2 linked regions of the Oryctolagus cuniculus genome follow. The protein of the gene in region 1 purifies or fractionates together with the protein of each later gene. This does not show direct contact. Links are inferred from orthologs where the notes say so. Each region holds a gene or a part of one and is shown on either strand. Other genes may lie near its edges.

The links.
Region 2: the proteins of GOLPH3 (region 1) and FAM20B purify together in Homo sapiens (affinity purification with mass spectrometry; 3 studies listed by BioGRID and IntAct, with this or other methods). This does not show direct contact. The link is inferred for Oryctolagus cuniculus from reciprocal best matches to the Homo sapiens genes GOLPH3 and FAM20B.

Annotation. Positions count from the first base shown.
Region 1 is NC_091445.1:58,310,813-58,315,372, forward strand, and holds the start of GOLPH3 (Golgi phosphoprotein 3), read right to left. Parts: upstream 3,017-4,560; 5' UTR 2,725-3,016; coding exon 2,500-2,724; intron 1-2,499. UniProt on the Homo sapiens protein: Phosphatidylinositol-4-phosphate-binding protein that links Golgi membranes to the cytoskeleton and may participate in the tensile force required for vesicle budding from the Golgi.
Region 2 is NC_091438.1:7,216,553-7,221,115, forward strand, and holds the start of FAM20B (glycosaminoglycan xylosylkinase), read left to right. Parts: upstream 1-1,606; 5' UTR 1,607-1,795; intron 1,796-4,563. UniProt on the Homo sapiens protein: Responsible for the 2-O-phosphorylation of xylose in the glycosaminoglycan-protein linkage region of proteoglycans thereby regulating the amount of mature GAG chains.

The sequences.
Region 1 (4,560 bases):
TTGGAATATGTAAATAACGAAATAAGTAAATTGAAACCTAATACTAACAAGCACAATTGCCTTGGCTCAGGAGAACAGCACTTCCTGCGCCCTCGACAAAGTGATACAGGAGGGAGAGGGTGACCGTCCCAGGCATTACAACCCACAACCCGAAGGCTGAGTTGACAGGGACAGTTACTAGTGTATAAAAACCTAACGGGGTAGGCATTATGTGCTGAAGGTTAAGCCTCTGCTTGGGACGCCCACATCCCAAACCTGGATGGCGCACCAGCTCCTCCACTTCAGATTCAGCTTCCTGCTAATGCACCTGGGAGGCAAGAACAGTCCAAGTACTTGGGTTCCTGCCACCTACGTGGGAGACCTGCATTGAGTCCTAGCTGTTAGGTCTGGCCTGGCGCAGCCCTGGATGTTGCAGACATATGGGGAGTGAACCAGCAGATGGAAGATCTCTTTGCCTTTCTAATAAATCTTTCTTTAAAATGTGACAAAAGAAAAAATATACAGGCTAATCCCCAAAGCCAAAATGTAAAGCAAGCAAAATCCCAGCCCTCTCTCTCCACGTCCTGGAGGTGCCTACGAAAGGGGGCGGGGCAGATTTCCCTATGTGGCTGTGAAGTCAGCAAGTACAGCTCAGAATTAGCTAGCATCTGGACCTTGGCCAGGCCTTGGAAAGTATAGCGAGCACCTCCTGAGGCAAAATACGCACCACAGATGGCTTCAATTACCTGCCATCAAAGAACTTCAAACTGTCTAAATTATGTAAGTACCATCACATTTCAACAAATTCTTCAGGTTATCGTCATCAAAACTAGCCACGGAAAAGCAGCATGTTAACCTGTTTCAGTATACACATTTAGAGCTAACACATATTTGAAAAAACAAAAAGGTACTTTCTCACCGTAACTTCTCACTGCTGTGACTCAGAGCACTAAATGTTAACTGTGTTTGTTTCTGAAGTTCTAGTTTCCGAGTTTTATCCATACAGAAAAGTCTCAAAAACTACAAGCCAAAATGTCCACTCAGGTATACGTTTTCTTCATTTTCCTTTTTTTTTCCTAAAATGTCTACAGTGTTACTTTTGTCCCAAAGGCAAAAAGACCTAAAGAAAAATGCTTAACACCAAGATTCCAAAGTGTAAAGCATTTAAAAAAAAGTTGAATACTTTCTAAAATCTAAGATACTTCTACTTCGCTTTTTCATCACAAGAACAAAACAGAGTTTCACACACAGCCTGCTCGGGTCAGCACAGCTCAGTCCTTACACAGGGCCCAGGCCCCTTTCGGTAGGAAAACAACATACTGCAGACACGCTGGGCGTTTCCATCAAGGTGAGCTGTAGTTCTCGACTTTTATCAGGAGTCCACCAACAGTAACATCTGCTAAGTTTCCCTAAACCTTCGATTTTTTTAAGAATGAAACTTTTTTGCCTATCTTGGTGAATTTGGAAAGCTTTCTGAAAATCAAAACAAAACTTCAAGATACTTTTGCGTCTGACTCAAGACAGCTGTCTGAGGTTCCCACACCGGGATAAAGCGCTTCAGGGACCACCTTACAGCCATGACTTACAGAACACCCATTCCCCTGCCTCAGCTCCCACGCCTGCGTCTGGCTTTCAAAACACCCATCTGTAGATGGATAGATACATGATACACAGAGCGAAAGGTTCACTATAGGATGAGAAGTGTGCACACACGTACACACCCACTGGCATTTTTTTCACCTTTTTATGTGAAAATTCTGGATACTGGGGTGAAATACAATCCTTTTCAAAAGCAGAACACAAAACAAATATTTTTCACAGCTTCACCCTACCTAAAGCTTTGAGGTCCTACGTCAAAAGCCCTCACTTCTCCAGCACCTCACAAAAAAAGCTCTTAAGACGGCCAAAACCTCGAGAACCGTCAGAACCGATCAAATTTAGAGCGATACTAAAAAAATAAGCTGTCGCCCAAACCAAGTTGAACTAAAAAGTCATTTTGTAGGGTTCCTGAGAACTTTGTCGACTTTACTTCGTAACTTTTTTTCCTCATTACCATTTCACCGAATTGTTAATTCCAAATAGTACGTCTTTAAAACAAACAAAATTCCCCAGCAAACAGGATCTGTGGACCCTCCCTCCCAGGTCCAAAATAACCCGAGAAGTTGGGGGTGCTGGTGGTTCCAGGTGCGGCTGTTCACAACCGGGTGGTCCCCAGGCTGGAATCGCGCCTGAGGTCTACACCGGTTAAACGCGCAGGGAGAGGCGAGGAGGGCGTCGCGAGGAAGAGGGGAGGAGAAATCCAACACTCTGAACGCCGAGGGCCAGGAAAGCCCTGGGCCGCGCGCAGCGGGGCCACCAACTCCACCGCGCCTCGGGGGCCAGGGGTGCGCTCCCGGGCGCGCGGCTCCGGCGGGAGCAGCGCAGGTGCGCGGGCCGGGGGGGAACCGCGCGCCCACCTGGAGCCCACCTGGCGCCCCGGGCCCGCGCCGCCGCCCCCCGCCCCGCCAGCCGCGCCCGCACCTCTCGGTCCTTGAGACCCAGCAAGAGCACCTCCTCCATCAGGGTCAGCCGGGTTTCCTTGGAGTCGCCCTTGTCGTCGTCGTCCTGCTCGTCGCGGCGGCTCTGCGCGTCGTCCTCGCCGCTGCCGCCGCCGCCGCCCGCCGCCCTCTCCTTGTCGGCGGCGTTGCGGGAGGCCTCGGTGCGCCGCTGCACCAGGCCCGAGCTGCGCTGGGTCAGCGAGGTCATGGCTCCGGCCGAAGCGCCGCGCGGGCCGAAGAGGGACGCGGGTCCGACCGGGTCGCCCTCCTCCTCCCCCCGCGGCCCCTGACCCGGGCTTCCGTGTTAGATCCGGATGCTGGGGCGACGTCCGTCGGCTGCGGGGCCGGGGGCGGTCATGGGGAATTAGGCTGAGCTTCGGCGAGGAGAAAGAGGGGCGCTTTCCTGCCTGCGGCCGCGGCCCCTAAAACTGCCCAAGCTCCGAAGCGGAGGCGGCGGCGGCGGCGGCGGCGGCGCCTTTCCAATATGGCGTCGCCGGCTGACGTCACCGGAGGATGTGGCAGAGTCGGCGCAGCGAGGGCCCGGAAGGCGCCGGAAGCAGCGGATGGGATCGGCTGCCGCCGCCGCCCACCGGCTCCCCGGCTTCGGGTGCCGGCCTTTTTTTCCGCGTGCCCTCCGGCCCCGGCCTGAGGCCTCGGGCCGGTGACGTGTCCGCGTCACGTTCGCCCCAACTTTCGTCCCTTACGATCCGGGATGGAGCCAGCGCGTCGGCGAGCGTGCGCGCGCGCGAGTCTGGAGAGCTGAGGCCGCGCAGGGGTGGACCCCGCCGAGCCTCGAGCTGTGCCCGCCGCACCTCGGTCCGCGGAGGGCCCGGGCCGCCGGGACCCCGTCTGGACTGGCAGGAGGGACTGTGCTCGCCGCCGCTGGGGCGCGAGAGGGCGCGCCCGGACGCCCTGATGCCTGGGGAGGAGCGGCTGCGCCTTCTGGGGGCAGCCGGGCTGGGACGCAGGGACTAGTTTAATGTGCAAAACTTTCCTCTCCCACTCCGACTTGCGCTGCGCGGTGGCCGGAGTGCCCCGCACAGCTAGTGGCGCGCACGGCCGCACGCGCGACCTTTACGGTCTTTTTATGGAGACAATAAACCTGTTGGGTTTCGTGCCACGTCTCTGCCCGCGTAATGACTAGGTTTCAATCCTCTTGGCGTGCTGCACAGTTTTGTGCAAATTACGTTAAAGGTTAGCTGTCACACTGCGAGAGGTAGGGCGGGGGCGGAAGGGTGGCGTGTGTAAAGTACCACGTTGTTGTGCGCCATCCAGTATTAGGATCAACAGTGACCACAGGCTGGAGCTGTGCTTTGGTTAGGGTCTTCCCCCTCCATGAACCCGGCATCCCGACCTGCAGTAGCCCCAGAACGCGATGCAGGCCCGGGGCACAAGGTCAGTGCCAAGTCCTCCCCTCTTTGCTGGCCGCCCAAAGGTCAACTTCTCAACCAGGTTCTCCCACTCACATCCTCTTCCAGTTCTTTACCAGATAGCTTCAAATTTGTTTCTTTGTAAAAGAAATGTAATCACTACTGGATTAATAGAGTCCAATACCTACGCCAAGACAAAGGACATGAAGATGTGTATAGTGAAGCTGTCCCTCCCAGCACTGTCTGGTTCCCCACGGCCAGATTTTCAAATATGCCAACAGGTCCTGTGATTCGCCTTCCCTTGCATGTGAGTTTCTTAGGACAGATAGAACGTGGGCAGCGCGGGCTGGCTGGGTGTCACTTCTCAGAGCGGGTCACAGGAGTCTTCGCAGCAACTTTCTCGCCTTCCTGCCCTCTCCCATTCACTCTGGGAGAAACCCAAAGCCAGATCTTACAGACATCCAAGCCCCCTTAGGCAATGGTCAGCCCTGTGAGTGACCCATCTCAAGCAGATCTTCCAGTCCTTCCTCATGTCTTCCTTGAAACCTGGTGAGAGATGCTGAGCCAGTCCCACCCAGTGGGGCCATTCTCAAATTCCTGTCCTGCAGAAACTGAGACAATAAATATTTGTTGGGCAGGTGTTGTGGCACAGCAGGTTAAGCAGCTGCTTAGGA
Region 2 (4,563 bases), on another chromosome or scaffold:
TCCAGGTCTCCCACGTGGATGCAGGGGCCCAAGGACCCAGGCCATCTTCCACTGCTTTCCCAGACCATAGCAGAGAGCTGGATGGGAAGTGGAACAGCCAGGACTCGAACCAGGGTCCATATGGAATGCTGGCACCGCAGATGGAGACTTAGCCCACTACACCACAGCGCCGGCCCCAAAGCCCTTCAACACAGGGGGATCCTCTGTTCCGGAAGCCGAGGCTGCAGAACGAGCCGGCCTTTTCCCTAGCAATGACACATGGAGCGTCCACCCTCACGGTCGGGTTCCAGGGTAGAAAGGAGTCCTTTGGAAGAAAGCCCCTTAGAGGGGGCGCCCATGGGTGCTTTGCGGTCCATTGCCGCAGAGAAGAAGCCTCAGGGAGATTAGCCGACCGCACCCCACCACCGCCCCTGTGTGCAGATTCTCACACCATCCCAGTCCGGCTCGCTTCCCCAGGAATCCCAGATCCTGTACTCTCACAGCGACCCTCAAACCGGCTCAACGACATCAGTGCAAGTCTGGCAGAGGCCTCCTGCATTCGGTGACTAATGCTTCCTGCGGGGATTAGCTCTGCCTCCTAGCCAGGCTGCTCTGGGTGGGTGTCTAGCCCAAGAATTCCTCCAGGATCTCCTGAAAGTAAGCGCTCACTGAATACACACTCGGATAGCAACCGCTGACACCCAGCCTCCCATCTGGGAGGGCTTTCCCATACCTTTCCGAATTTAACCCTCACCAGTGTATGGAGTCCCACGATGACCTCTGACCTTACTGGGCTGGCCACGTGGCCTGCCACCCTTTGCTGTTGAAATGGACCAGGTGTCCTGGAGACGGTCAGCTGGGTCCTTAAGGTGTCAACCTTTCCCCATCGCTTGTCTTAGCTCCTCGGGCAGCCTGCTGTCCATTTCAGGGGCAGGGCAGCTAAGTCCCAGCTTAGTATAGGGAGAATGAATGCACGGTGCATTTGTTAAACTCTAGCCAGGGTAAAAAGTGAGCAAGCCAAGGGCAGGGAGGCGCTTTCCTCGGTTACCAGGAGCCTGCTGGGTGCTGGGCATCTGAGCTTTCCATTCTCTGAACGTAGCGGCAGGGAGCTGCGCTCTGGTCCGGAGCAGGAGCGCTTTGGCTCCGTACTGGGAACGCTGGCCAGTTTGGGGCAAGGCGGGGATCCACTCTCTCCAAGCAGGAGTCAGGATAACTTAGGGAGGACCTTCCATATCACAACTAGCCCTTGACCTGGATTGCATTGCAAAGCGCCAGTCCTGCTGCCTGGCTGCTTCTCTGTCCAACAAAAGCAGCAAAGAAACAAGCGAAGGCAAGGGAGAAGAAGCCAGAGGCCGGTTTATGGCAACGGGATGGAGCAGCGCAGTAGGCAGGCAGGAGTGGAAATAAGAACCGGCGCCGATAGAGTTAAGCGGGGCCGGCCGGAACCAAAGGGGTTAAGGGGGCCGTCTGGAGCGAGTCCGGTAGGGCCCGCCCACAGTGGGGCGGGGCCCGGGCGGGGCCGCGCCGAGCGAGCCTTTGGATTGGTCCCGGGGAAGGCGTTACGCTAGGACCGTACCAACAGCCGCGGCCTGCGGAGGCGGGGGGGTGGGTGTGGGACGGCCGGCTCTGCGCGGGGAGAGGTGGCCAGGGAATGGCCGGACCGGGGGTGGGCGGGAGCCGCAGTGGCGGCGGCGGCGGCGGCTGGGGGCGGTGAGCGCGGCGTGGGGCTGCCCCTCCCCGGAGGCGGCGGGGGCGGCCGGGGCCGCGCCGCACCGCACCGTGCGGGCGGCCATGGAGCGAGCCTAGGGCCCGACAGGTGAGCGGCATGGGGGGGCGGCGGAGGGCGCGGGACCCCCGGCGCGGCGGGCGGGCGGGCGGGAAAGTGCGGGCGGGCGCGGTGCGTGGCGCGACCCGGGCGGGGCGCCTCCCCGAGGGGCCGGCCGGGCGCCGCTGCCCTGAGCGGTCTCCCGCGAGTGGCCGCTGGCGGGTCCCTTCACGGGGCGGCCGGTGCGGCGCGTGCCTGCCGGGGGTTGCGGCTGACGCGGACGCCGCCTCCCCGGCCCGCCGGAGGTCGTTGTGGGGGAGCCGCTGGGGCGCCGGAGCGCGGTGCCCGGAGGCGTCCGGCCTCGGAGCCGCCCCCTGTGTCCGGCCGGGCGCCGGCTGCGGTGGCTCGAGGAGCGCGCGCTCGCGGGTCCCCCCGCGGGGCCCGCCTCGTGGCCGGGAGGCGCGAGTGACCTGCAGGCCCGAGGCGGGAGCCCGCGGTGGGCGCCGCTTGAGGAAATGCTGGGGTCGTCCGGAGTGGGGCCGCGCCTGGAGCTTCCATTTCCGGGTGTGCGGCCCCGCGATCGCGAGCGAGCGGGCAGGAGCGTGGCCGCGAGTGATTAGTGGGAGCGCCTGTCACGCCGCGTCCTTGATCGCACGGGCTGATAGGAGACGCGCTCTCAGCGGCCGGGCTCCCCGGGTAGCAGGCGAGGGGGCGCCAGGGTCTGGGCATGGCTGTGGGATGTAGTCCAGATCTCCGTGACCGGGGTGGGCCGGGAGTTGATGATTTTGGAAAAGGCGACGCCTGATGCCGCGACTTGGGTCTGGGGCCCCGTGTCAGTGTCACCCCCGCCCAGCCGGCCTGCTCCTGCAGGTTTGATTGCTCACCTTGGAAAGTCGCCGTGTGGGGCGCCTTGTTAGCTTTTCCACTGTAGGACTTTCTATACATCTGGAACCTGGCGAAGTTACGATTGCCGATTATTAACCATGGCCTAAAATCCTTGGGTTGAAAACCATGGGTCCGTTTGACCCCAGGGTGATTTCTTCAAAGTTGGGCTCCAGATCCCAGCGTGCACGTGTATTGGAAACATCGCCGGGCCAGGTGGCAGTCGGGAGCTGGGATCCTGTGCTGGGTCTCCCAGGTGGGTGGCAGGGACCCCACGGGCCAGGTGGCAGTCGGGAGCTGGGATTCTGTGCTGGGTCTCCCAGGTGGGTGGCAGGGTCCCCACGGGCCAGGTGGCAGTCGGGAGCTGGGATCCTGTGCTGGGTCTCCCAGGTGGGTGGCAGGGACCCCACGGGCCAGGTGGCAGTCGGGAGCTGGGATCCTGTGCTGGGTCTCCCAGGTGGGTGGCAGGGACCCCACGGGCCAGGTGGCAGTCGGGAGCTGGGATCCTGTGCTGGGTCTCCCAGGTGGGTGGCAGGGACCCCACGGGCCAGGTGGCAGTCGGGAGCTGGGATCCTGTGCTGGGTCTCCCAGGTGGGTGGCAGGGACCCCACGGGCCAGGTGGCAGTCGGGAGCTGGGATCCTGTGCTGGGTCTCCCAGGTGGGTGGCAGGGACCCCAGCCCTTGAGCTGTCACCTGCTGCCCTCCGAGGTGTGCCTTAGCAGGAAGCTGGATCTGAAGGGGAGGAGCCGAGACTCAAACCAGGTACTGTGATGTAGAATGCCCATATCCTAACACGGCTGAGAAGCTGAGGTGCAGATGTTGAAGTGCTAAATCATATGCCTGCACTCAGAGCCCTCCTAAGATCGATTTAAAGTTAATGTTTTGTATTTCGTCAGTAACTTTTCTAAGTTTCTGAAGATGTGGAAGTGTGACTTCTGGAACCGCCCAGTGAAGTGTGTGGACAGGAGGCCCTTCCACATTGGAAGTTGCTTATCAAAGGAGAGTCCAAGGGCACGGCCAGTAATCAGTCTCACCACAATAAAGTGCGGTGGTAGATACGGGTGATAGTGAGAGATGACCAGGATCTGGTGGGGCTGGCGGCTTTCCATCTCTGTTGCCTGATGAAAATGTCACACACGGATTTGCCAAGAACCCTAGCCACATTTTGTTAAAGGAAGGAGAACACGGGCCCTGCTTTTCTTCCTGGGGACAAACACACCCCTGTTGATGTATTTCCTTTTCCATAATACTTTATATCATAGGATTCTCCATGTGAAGTTGCTAAGTCCTTGCCTTTTAGTCCATTCTTTTGACTTCCATGCGTAGATTCCAGCTCTTTGGCACGGCTCTGAATTTTGAATTCATGAGGGAAATTTTCCTTGTTTCCTTCACTGTCCGGGCAGACTGAAGTTTGACTTACATGGTGTGGCTATCATTTCAGTGGTGTGAACCCTGAAGCCGGATCCTGCGACTCCTGAATTGCGAACTTTTTAAAATAGCTAACCACAGTCGTGGTCACTTGGTGATTGCTACGCTCTTATAATAGAAACAGGAGGCTGCTCTGTGCCATCTGTGGTCCTAGAGGCAAACAAGAAAGGAGATAATCTTCCGAAGCGGATGTCAGGTCCCTGAGCCCAGGTGCCCGGTGGTTTCACGGATGGAGGTGGAGAGTACAGTTACAATGAGGCCCAGTAGTTGTAATCGGTGTACTTTTCTCTCTGCACTTAACAGTGCCTAGTGCATAGTAGGCGTGCAGGAAATATTTGCTGGCGGAATGAAGGAAGGAAAACAGTATGAGGAAAGCAAAAGTATTCTAGTACATGTACCCGTGAACTGTTTCGTTCCTCTTTGTCACAAGAAAATAAAAGCCAAGAAAAATATTCCCATTCATGTTGAAGTGTTCTGTGAAGGGCATCGTTTATTTGCTGGAGCTGCCT